Linked DNA regions of Saccharomyces cerevisiae S288C. Changing the gene in region 1 together with any one later gene gives a genetic interaction. Each region holds a gene or a part of one and is shown in the gene's direction. Other genes may lie near its edges.

The links. A genetic interaction does not mean that the proteins touch.
Region 2: mutations in FAR3 (region 1) and NUC1 together harm fitness more than expected from each alone (negative genetic interaction), as found in Saccharomyces cerevisiae (2 studies listed by BioGRID).
Region 3: mutations in FAR3 (region 1) and SPE2 together harm fitness more than expected from each alone (negative genetic interaction), as found in Saccharomyces cerevisiae (2 studies listed by BioGRID).

Annotation. Positions count from the first base shown.
Region 1 is NC_001145.3:377,758-380,725, forward strand, and holds FAR3 (Far3p), read left to right. Parts: upstream 1-1,828; coding exon 1,829-2,443; downstream 2,444-2,968. Other genes in the region: YMR051C (gag protein), read right to left, coding at 1-568; STB2 (Stb2p), read right to left, coding at 2,589-2,968. UniProt on the Saccharomyces cerevisiae protein: Participates in the control of the reentry into the cell cycle following pheromone treatment.
Region 2 is NC_001142.9:39,618-42,908, reverse strand, and holds NUC1 (ribonuclease), read left to right. Parts: upstream 1-1,725; coding exon 1,726-2,715; downstream 2,716-3,291. Other genes in the region: AP-1 complex accessory protein LAA1, read left to right, coding at 1-1,520; CBP1 (Cbp1p), read right to left, coding at 2,940-3,291. UniProt on the Saccharomyces cerevisiae protein: This enzyme has both RNase and DNase activity.
Region 3 is NC_001147.6:231,870-235,366, reverse strand, and holds SPE2 (adenosylmethionine decarboxylase SPE2), read left to right. Parts: upstream 1-1,730; coding exon 1,731-2,921; downstream 2,922-3,497. Other genes in the region: GAL11 (Gal11p), read right to left, coding at 1-427.

The DNA of each region.
Region 1 (2,968 bases):
TGATGTATGTTTTAACCCAATTTGGAAAATCATTAGGTGAGGTTAACATTGGTGGTGGTCTGACATATTTTTTAGTGGATGTCATATCAGAGTCCGCTGAGGATGAATCAGTAAATGTATTACCTGACTCAGGTGATGGAGTGCTCAGAGGCGTTCCAACTGATGATGGATACTGCGGAAACTGTGATTGTGGCCCAGGTGGAAAGTACATAGGCGACATTTGATAAGGTGTATACGGAATCATAGATGGGTGTCCGTAAAATGACCAACCAGATGGATTGGCTTGGTTTTGGGTCATCATGCACTGCTGTGGGTACGGCCCATTCTGTGGAGGTGGTACTGAAGCAGGTTGAGGAGAGGCATGATGGGGGTTCTCTGGAACAGCTGATGAAGCAGGTGTTGTTGTCTGTTGAGAGTTAGCCTTAGTGGAAGCCTTATCATATTCTTGAATTTTGGAAGCTGAAACGTCTAACGGATCTTGATTTGTGTGGACTTCCTTAGAAGTAACCGAAGCACAGGCGCTACCATGAGATATATGTGGGTAATTAGATAATTGTTGGGATTCCATTGTTGATAAAGGCTATAATATTAGGTATACAGAATATACTAGAAGTTCTCCTCGAGGATATAGGAATCCTCAAAATGGAATCTATATTTCTACATACTAATATTACGATTATTCCTCATTCCGTTTTATATGTTTATATTCATTGATCCTATTACATTATCAATCCTTGCGTTTCAGCTTCCTCTAACATCGATGACAGCTTCTCATAACTTATGTCATCATCTTAACACCGTATATGATAATATATTGATAATATAACTATTAGTTGATAGACGATAGTGGATTTTTATTCCAACAGAAGGTGATCTAAAGATTGAGAAACAGTCACCAGATTTAGGGGAAGCTGAAATGCAATGATTGATAATGTAATAAGAAGCGAGAGGGAAAGTATAAAAAGGAAGTGATCAATTTGTGAATAATTTGATAACCGTTGGGATTCTATTGTTCGCAAGGGCTTTATTTTATTATGTGTACAGAATATAATAAAATTTCCCCTGAGAGATATACCAATCCTCAAATTGGAATCGATACTCCTATATAATACAATTACAATTATTTCTCCCTCCCTTTCGTATGTTTCATTATCCTAGTACATTATCAATCCTTATATTTCTGCTTCCATTAAATTTTACGACTGTTTCTCAATGTTTAGATCATCTTCTTACACTGTATATGATAATGTACGAGTGGCATGAATACTACTGAACAGATGATATTTTATAGCTTCATTCCAACAGAAAGAACATAAAGTAATATCGTTACGTAAAACTATCGATTCCCTTTTGACGATTCCTACATCCTCGAGAAGAAGTTCTAGTATATTCTGTGTACCTAATATTGTAGGCTCTAACAACAATGGAATCCCAACAATTAATCATCTTGATTATTTTATTCCCCGCGTTTTAGAGCATCAATCTTGCCAGCTTATAGCTGGTCATTGTCGACGATAATCTCAAGCACAGGGCTAAAAAATAAATTGAAACGGACAGGAATTGAACCTGCAACCCTTCGATTGCAATCTTATTCCGTGGAATTTCCAAGATTTAATTGGAGTCGAAAGCTCTACCATTGAGCCACCGCTTCAACTTTTATTGTTTATATTGACACCTGTATAACAATATAACCACAATAAAAGGTTCATTCAAAGCTCCGGCTAGCATTCGGCGATTAATGAAGAAAGTTAAACCGTGATTTATTACTTCTTGCTCGTTTTTTCCATCATAAGTTCGCACAGAGCAGTATATATAGTGATTTGCAAATATGAATAGCGGTGGTAGTGATAGTTTCGATTATCTTCTTCAATTAACAAAAGCTTTAAGTGCAGAGTGTCGGGCTAACAGACAAGAGACCGATCGAATAGAACTATTGTTAAAGCGCCTTGCCAAACAGTCAGGAATATCTTATGATAATTTGAGCAAAAACATAATTCCAGATTCATGGAAAGATAATGCATCTCAAAAAGCATCTCCCCCCACTGAGGCACAGAAGCTTATCAGCGAAAATTTTAAACTCATATACGAGATTGAAAAACAAGAGTACTTCAATACAAAGGCTGTTGCGCTAATTAACAACATAAATGAGCATTTCTCATATATTAAAAATTTTATCGACGAACAGAATGCAATAAGAGAACGAAATATTGCCACATTTTCATCAGAGAAGCTTGATGAAAGGAACAAAAGTCTTCAACAAAATTACGAGTCATTGAAGACAGAAAATGAAGAAACAAAAAAAAAATTGCATTCAATTATCAAACAGTTTGAAAAACTTTTGAAGGAAGTGGATTGGGATCGTATATCTAAAGATTCCAGAGATTACAGCCGCTTTAAAAAACAGTTGGAATACCTGCAAGACACGTACCAGGTACTGAAATAGCCTACGATGGATCGAACAAAAGTGTAAGCAGACGTGAAATAGCAAACCTTTGAATGCATTTATATATTTTAATATACTTATAACAACGGATAAATGTTTAGATCCCTTTTGAAAAAAAAAAAAAATTAGGATGAACCGAAAAAAATCATACTCGTATTCCTCTATCGTCTTCACTGGCATTATTGTGTAAAGAATTATTACCAAATAACCACCTGAACCACCCCACAGTATCATTCTTTAAATCTTTAAAATAACGGCGGCTCAGCATCTTTAAACAAAGAGCTTCATAGGTGGGGTTGTTAGTGGTCATCAAATCATTTACGCATCTATCATATTCGTCTTTATCACTCTTGGGATCTATTGCAGAGCATATTCCAGTTTTACCCTGTCCCTGAAGAGAGCTTTTCAACCCAATTAATTTGGAATCAAACTGAGCAACACTACTTTCAATATCTCGTACACGAACTTCCAATATCCTCATATCATATTTCAACCTAGATGATAAGGAATTTAACTCTTGCATCT
Region 2 (3,291 bases), on another chromosome or scaffold:
TTTTCTCTTTTACCAGGAAATATTGGAGCATTTTAGTCCCATTATGGATCATTTCTTTACGTGAATACATGATGATAAAGTATAACGATAATGATTCTACTGTGCAAGTAAAGAATGACTCGAAAGAAAATAGTCTCATTGAACCAAGAAGTACGAAAATTGAGTTATATGAACCGGTCTGGTTAAATTTCGTAGAGGCCCTTGGGTGCACTCTGGATTCAGACGTTCAAGTCATTTTGGCATCTCTTAACGATGAGGAATTAGAGTATTTTCTTTTTATTTTATTTAGCCAATGTTTGGAGGCTATCGTCAAAAATATTGATGATCATTCAGTCAAGATGCAAGTTTTACCGGCTTTACACAATGTTTTGAAGAGCAATCTGTGCATAAAAAGTATATTTGAGGATGATATTATTACTGAAGTTGTTGAGATTATGGACAGACTGATTTCTACAGGCGACAGTAAAGAAGAATTTTTGCTTGTTGATATCATCAGTGACTTGATCATTGGGTATTCGAAGTGTAATGCTACTCCTGAAACATTTCTACAAGATATTGACAAACTATATGAGCTACTGCGACTACTGATGACAATTATTTCTGAGAGGTTGCCATTTATTAAGTATAACGTGCTTACCAGCGAAGAAGATGATAATGAAATAAAAATCTCTCCCACAGATATTAGTCTGTTGAAAAAAACATTTATTGCGTTCGAATCAAATATCAGTAACTTCGACAATATGTTCAAAGTAGATCTTTATTCATGTCTTTTATTCATCATAGGGAAAATTTATGAATGTAGTCATCGTGAAGTAATAATTCCAATCATACTCCCACTTTTCAAGGCACTAGTAAAAGCGCTTACGGAATCTGAGGACGAAAAAAATATTGTGTTACTAGAAATATTCTACGGGTCAATAAAAGATGTTATTTATCATAAGCTGGATTCAAAGAATAAAGTTGCAACCATTTTGATCTTGCTGTCTAATGGATACTCTAAGCTAAGTTTTCAGGAACTGAATCAGTGCGCAAATATTCTCTCGGAGGCATTGAATAATCCTGCTACGCAGCCAATTGCTCTACAAGGCTTCAAGAGAATAATATCTAATATTTTCAAATACCCGTTGTTGCAGTATTTTATGAAGTTGGTTATAAAAAGATTCTTTCAAGATATTCAAACAAACGATTCCTTATCGCAGGCAAGCATTAAAACTAAGTTGATAATTCAGTTTTCCGAGGAAGTAATCAAACAAGATCACCAAAAGGCATCATTGTCAATTGCTTTATGTCTTTCTTTCTTTGCCGCATATCATAGCGCATATACAGAGAAAATAGACAACGAAGTAGCAAGTGGCATAGTTGCTTTGGCTAAATTGGACAAAAATTCATTTAAAGAAGCCATTTCTAGCACTATAAGTCCTCAACAAAAAGCAATTATAGGTTCCGTGATGGAGGCATACGTTAAATCGCAGTCTTTGGGCTCTGTCGAAGAGGCCTTTCAACTGAAATCTTTCGACTAATTGCAAGTCGGATGCATATGCACGGAAATAAAACTCATCGCGAAAAAAGAAAAAAAAAATAAAATCTGTGAAAAAATATCAATGGTGCAATTGGTTATTGGTCACTCATCAAGTAATTTGTTAGTTTTTATAGAGTTACAATTGTATAAAGATAAGAACATTTAGTTAAGTTCCCCACTTATTAGATCCCAAAGTTAAAGTTATCATGTGCAGTAGGATACTCTTGTCCGGTTTAGTCGGACTGGGTGCTGGTACTGGCTTAACCTATCTTCTTTTGAACAAACATTCTCCAACGCAAATCATTGAGACACCTTATCCACCTACCCAGAAACCTAATAGTAATATTCAATCTCACTCTTTCAACGTCGATCCTTCCGGGTTCTTCAAGTATGGTTTTCCTGGTCCGATTCATGATCTGCAGAACCGCGAAGAGTTTATCTCATGTTACAACAGACAAACTCAAAATCCTTATTGGGTCCTCGAACATATAACGCCAGAATCATTGGCTGCAAGGAATGCTGACAGAAAAAATTCCTTTTTCAAGGAAGATGAAGTAATTCCAGAAAAGTTTAGAGGTAAACTAAGAGACTATTTTAGGTCGGGCTATGATCGAGGCCATCAAGCCCCAGCTGCAGACGCAAAATTTTCTCAACAGGCCATGGATGATACATTCTACTTATCCAATATGTGTCCTCAAGTAGGAGAAGGTTTTAATAGAGACTATTGGGCGCATTTGGAGTACTTTTGTAGGGGATTGACTAAGAAATATAAGAGTGTAAGAATCGTGACTGGTCCATTGTATCTACCCAAAAAGGATCCCATAGATAATAAATTTAGGGTTAATTATGAAGTTATTGGCAATCCACCCAGTATTGCTGTTCCAACGCACTTTTTTAAATTGATTGTTGCAGAAGCACCAACAGCCAATCCTGCTAGAGAGGATATTGCTGTCGCGGCATTTGTATTGCCAAACGAACCGATATCAAATGAGACGAAATTGACTGACTTTGAAGTTCCTATAGATGCTTTAGAGAGAAGTACTGGGCTAGAACTTCTGCAAAAAGTACCACCTTCAAAGAAGAAGGCATTATGCAAAGAGGTAAATTGTCAAATTGTAGTGAGAGATTTCTCTAACGCGGCGATCAAACAATCGAAAGATGTGAAATTGTTACCTCCTCCAAAAAAAAGGAATTGAATGTACTGAAAAACTGTAAATATAAATTAATTCATAACACAACGATAGAATAGCATGAAAGAATATAACAAGTCTAACGCATATAACATAAAATAATACATTTATTTGATGATCAAAAAAAGAAAAGAATTAGGATGCAATGCTTGGATTTAGTATATATTTACAGAAATTTGTTTTGTTATTATTTGCTTTGTTATTTATATCGTAAATGTGCGTTTGGCCGTTCATCTTAAGTAACGTTTGACAGCCGACACACCATGCTTTTTAATATCTTGTATGATCTCCTTGTTTGTTTTGAACTCTGAATTTCTAATTTGATGTTTTAAGATGAAATTCCAGTCTAACTTCAATTCCTCAATCGTCATACCGTTCTGGTATAGTTCTGCGCACGCCCAAAGAAAAATGTCTGTTCTTCCTATCTGCAGTGCGCTTAATGCAATATTCCTTAAAATAGTAAACCTGTTTTGATTATTCACTTTTAATTTGACATCACATGGGGAGGATGCAATGAATGGGTTACAGTTCGATTTTGTCCAGTATGTTTTACTTCTCTTTGCAGCATTTATATAAAGTAGT
Region 3 (3,497 bases), on another chromosome or scaffold:
GTTGCGCAACCTGTTGCCTTGCCTGAGCCTGCTGATTCAAGAACATCTGTGGGTTTAGATTCATATTGACATTCATATTATTGGCGCTGTTGCCAGAATTTTTCAAGTTGTTAATATGGTGCTGTTCCACGGGTTTAATGTTGTTATTAGCGGCAGCAGCAGTAACGGCGTTTTTCCTCGTATTGTACGTGTTGCGCATGACAGCAACTTTTTCGTTCATGCTGTCCATGTATTCTTTCTTTGAAGAGCTCTTTGCGAACAAAGCTGCCTCGAAGTTTTTGGCATGAATTCTTATCTTATCAGCAGTGTCGGAGCTCCCTCCGTTCAGAGTGTTAATGTCCATGAGCACCTGAAGCAACCCGTTGACGTTCTTCGCACGCTCGGCATTGGACAGAGTGTCTTTGTCTTGGACAGGAGCAGCAGACATAGCAGATTTAAAAGAAATAGCGTTTTAATCCTTGATCTTTGAGTACGGCACTATACGAAACGATACGCTTATAAAAATGGGGTTTAACTAACAAAGAAAAATATACCAGCACAAGTATATAGCAATGTCGTGGAAGTACTTCTTTGTGGAACCAGCTGTTTCCAGAGACAAATTCCTAGTCCTTGTGAATGGTTGACTATTAAAAGTTTGACTGTAAAGGTTAAGCACCTTCATCATCCTCATCCATAATATAATTTTCTGATCGACGCAACCGGGGCCGGGGTGGAAGGAAGGCCCGATTCGAAATAAAAAAGAGGCCGCCACAATGTAGGGTAATGCCTAATTATATTAACTAGAGACTGACTGAATCATATTACTTAGTTACTACTACTCTTATCATGCAAGAAGATGTGAAAAAGCGTCTTCCCCCAAATCATATAACTTCTGCACCATCCGTGGACTGTACAGGTTCAGCGGGGGAATATGTAATTGCTTGTTAGGATTGCTCTTGGGACCGTAGTATCGCGACAAGGAAGTCTGTGTAGTTCCACTTGATGTGGGCTGCCTCGCCGCTTCTTTTGCAGTCCCTAACCTTATATAGATGCGCACGCGCCAAAGCATGAGGGTACTCCATCATGTCTGTTGCACAAATATCGTAGGTTACTTGACGCTAACGTCATGTTTGATGCTCCGTTAACGAAGAGAATCGGAGCTCTTCATCTTAATCAGGCTCTTTTATAGCTCAATCATCAGTGGAAAAAATTCTTCGAACTAGAAAAAAATCAAGAAGTGAAAAAACTAAAACCGCCAACTGGCTACCCGGATAAGCCCCATAATGGCGTTCCTAGGGCTAGAAGAATTTCAAATCGATGACAGCTGATAGAAAGCGCCAGAGATATGTAGCCTTCCATCAGTAGTAATATCCAATAAATTGGGCACCATGGTTTGGCAATCAGGCTTTTTACCCTCGCCCTCTTTTCCTTCGCCTTTTACCTCTTCTGCATCCAATTTCAGCGTACGTACACAATGATTGACTTTGGAAATTTTCACTTTTTTCCACTCGAAGAAAAAAAATTCCAAACACGGTTCTCCGGTATTTAGGCATCGAATAAACTTTGCTAATCGACTAAAAGCATCTCTGCATATCTATACGTGTATATATTGTATTCGCTACAGCTCGCTCCTTGCATCAACTCTTTTTTTCTTTTTTTTCTTCCAGGTTAATCAATTACTGTACTGTAGCTTCTTTTTTATATTTTTTAGGTTTTCATATAGTGTCTTACGCAAATAGGCGGACCATAGAATGACTGTCACCATAAAAGAATTGACTAACCACAACTACATTGACCACGAACTATCAGCCACTTTAGACTCAACGGATGCGTTCGAGGGTCCCGAGAAGTTGCTGGAAATCTGGTTCTTCCCTCACAAGAAGTCCATCACGACCGAAAAGACATTAAGAAATATTGGCATGGATAGATGGATCGAGATTTTGAAATTAGTGAAATGCGAAGTTCTTTCCATGAAGAAGACTAAAGAACTGGATGCCTTTTTGTTGAGTGAGTCTTCCCTCTTCGTCTTCGATCACAAATTGACGATGAAGACGTGCGGTACTACAACCACATTGTTCTGTCTCGAAAAGCTTTTCCAGATCGTTGAGCAAGAGTTATCGTGGGCTTTCCGCACAACACAAGGGGGCAAGTACAAACCATTTAAAGTGTTTTATTCTAGACGATGTTTCCTTTTCCCCTGTAAGCAAGCCGCTATCCATCAAAACTGGGCTGACGAAGTCGACTATTTGAACAAATTTTTCGACAATGGTAAAAGTTATTCCGTGGGAAGAAATGACAAGAGCAACCACTGGAACCTGTACGTCACCGAGACGGACCGCTCCACACCTAAGGGAAAGGAGTACATCGAGGATGACGACGAAACTTTCGAAGTACTGATGACGGAGCTGGACCCAGAATGCGCTAGTAAGTTTGTTTGCGGGCCTGAGGCATCCACAACCGCTCTCGTGGAGCCAAACGAAGATAAGGGCCACAACCTCGGCTACCAAATGACTAAAAATACAAGGCTTGACGAAATATATGTCAACTCGGCCCAAGACTCCGATTTATCATTTCACCACGATGCATTTGCGTTCACGCCATGTGGATACTCATCCAATATGATTCTCGCTGAAAAATACTATTACACCCTGCACGTGACTCCGGAAAAGGGTTGGTCTTACGCCTCTTTCGAAAGTAACATACCCGTATTTGACATTTCCCAAGGGAAGCAAGACAACTTGGACGTTCTTCTACATATTCTGAACGTTTTTCAACCAAGAGAGTTCTCGATGACCTTTTTTACCAAAAATTATCAGAACCAATCCTTCCAAAAACTACTAAGCATCAACGAGTCACTGCCCGACTACATCAAGTTAGACAAAATTGTTTATGATCTGGACGACTACCACCTTTTCTATATGAAATTGCAGAAGAAAATATGAAAAGCCGCCATTTGTGTCTCCTCATACTTACATAGAATAGCCCTCTTCTATTATCCTTCGCTTGCTTTCTAGCACTCATAACTAATGTAGTTTAACCCGCTTGTATATCTTCTACATCATTACCCCGCATGCTTTTTTTTTTCCTCTAGAGAAAACCGGCACAGATTGGCCGGACCCGGAACAGGAAAAATGGCCACTGAAAATTCCTGGCCAGACCACCCCTGAGCTAAGGGAGTTTAGCCGCTCAAGCTTTTATTTCCTCTGATGTAATATATCACACACCCAGACACGGTTGCCAAGGCCTCGACGGAAGGCCGCTTCAAGGGACGGGGCAGTGGCTATCAGAAATACCTTAATATCATCAATATTTTTCATCAATCGCAAGGTGTCAAACATCAATAAAGGATGATGCTCAAAGGTTTATGCCCGATGTTCTTCTAATCCCCTTTCTCTCCTAAAATAATCCTTTTTTTACTCTTCTTCTTTTCCCCTGTTTCCATTTTTGTCTTTTCTCACCCCTTATGGGACATCAATAATGCAAGTATGTTTATACATTTTTATATAAATGTATATATA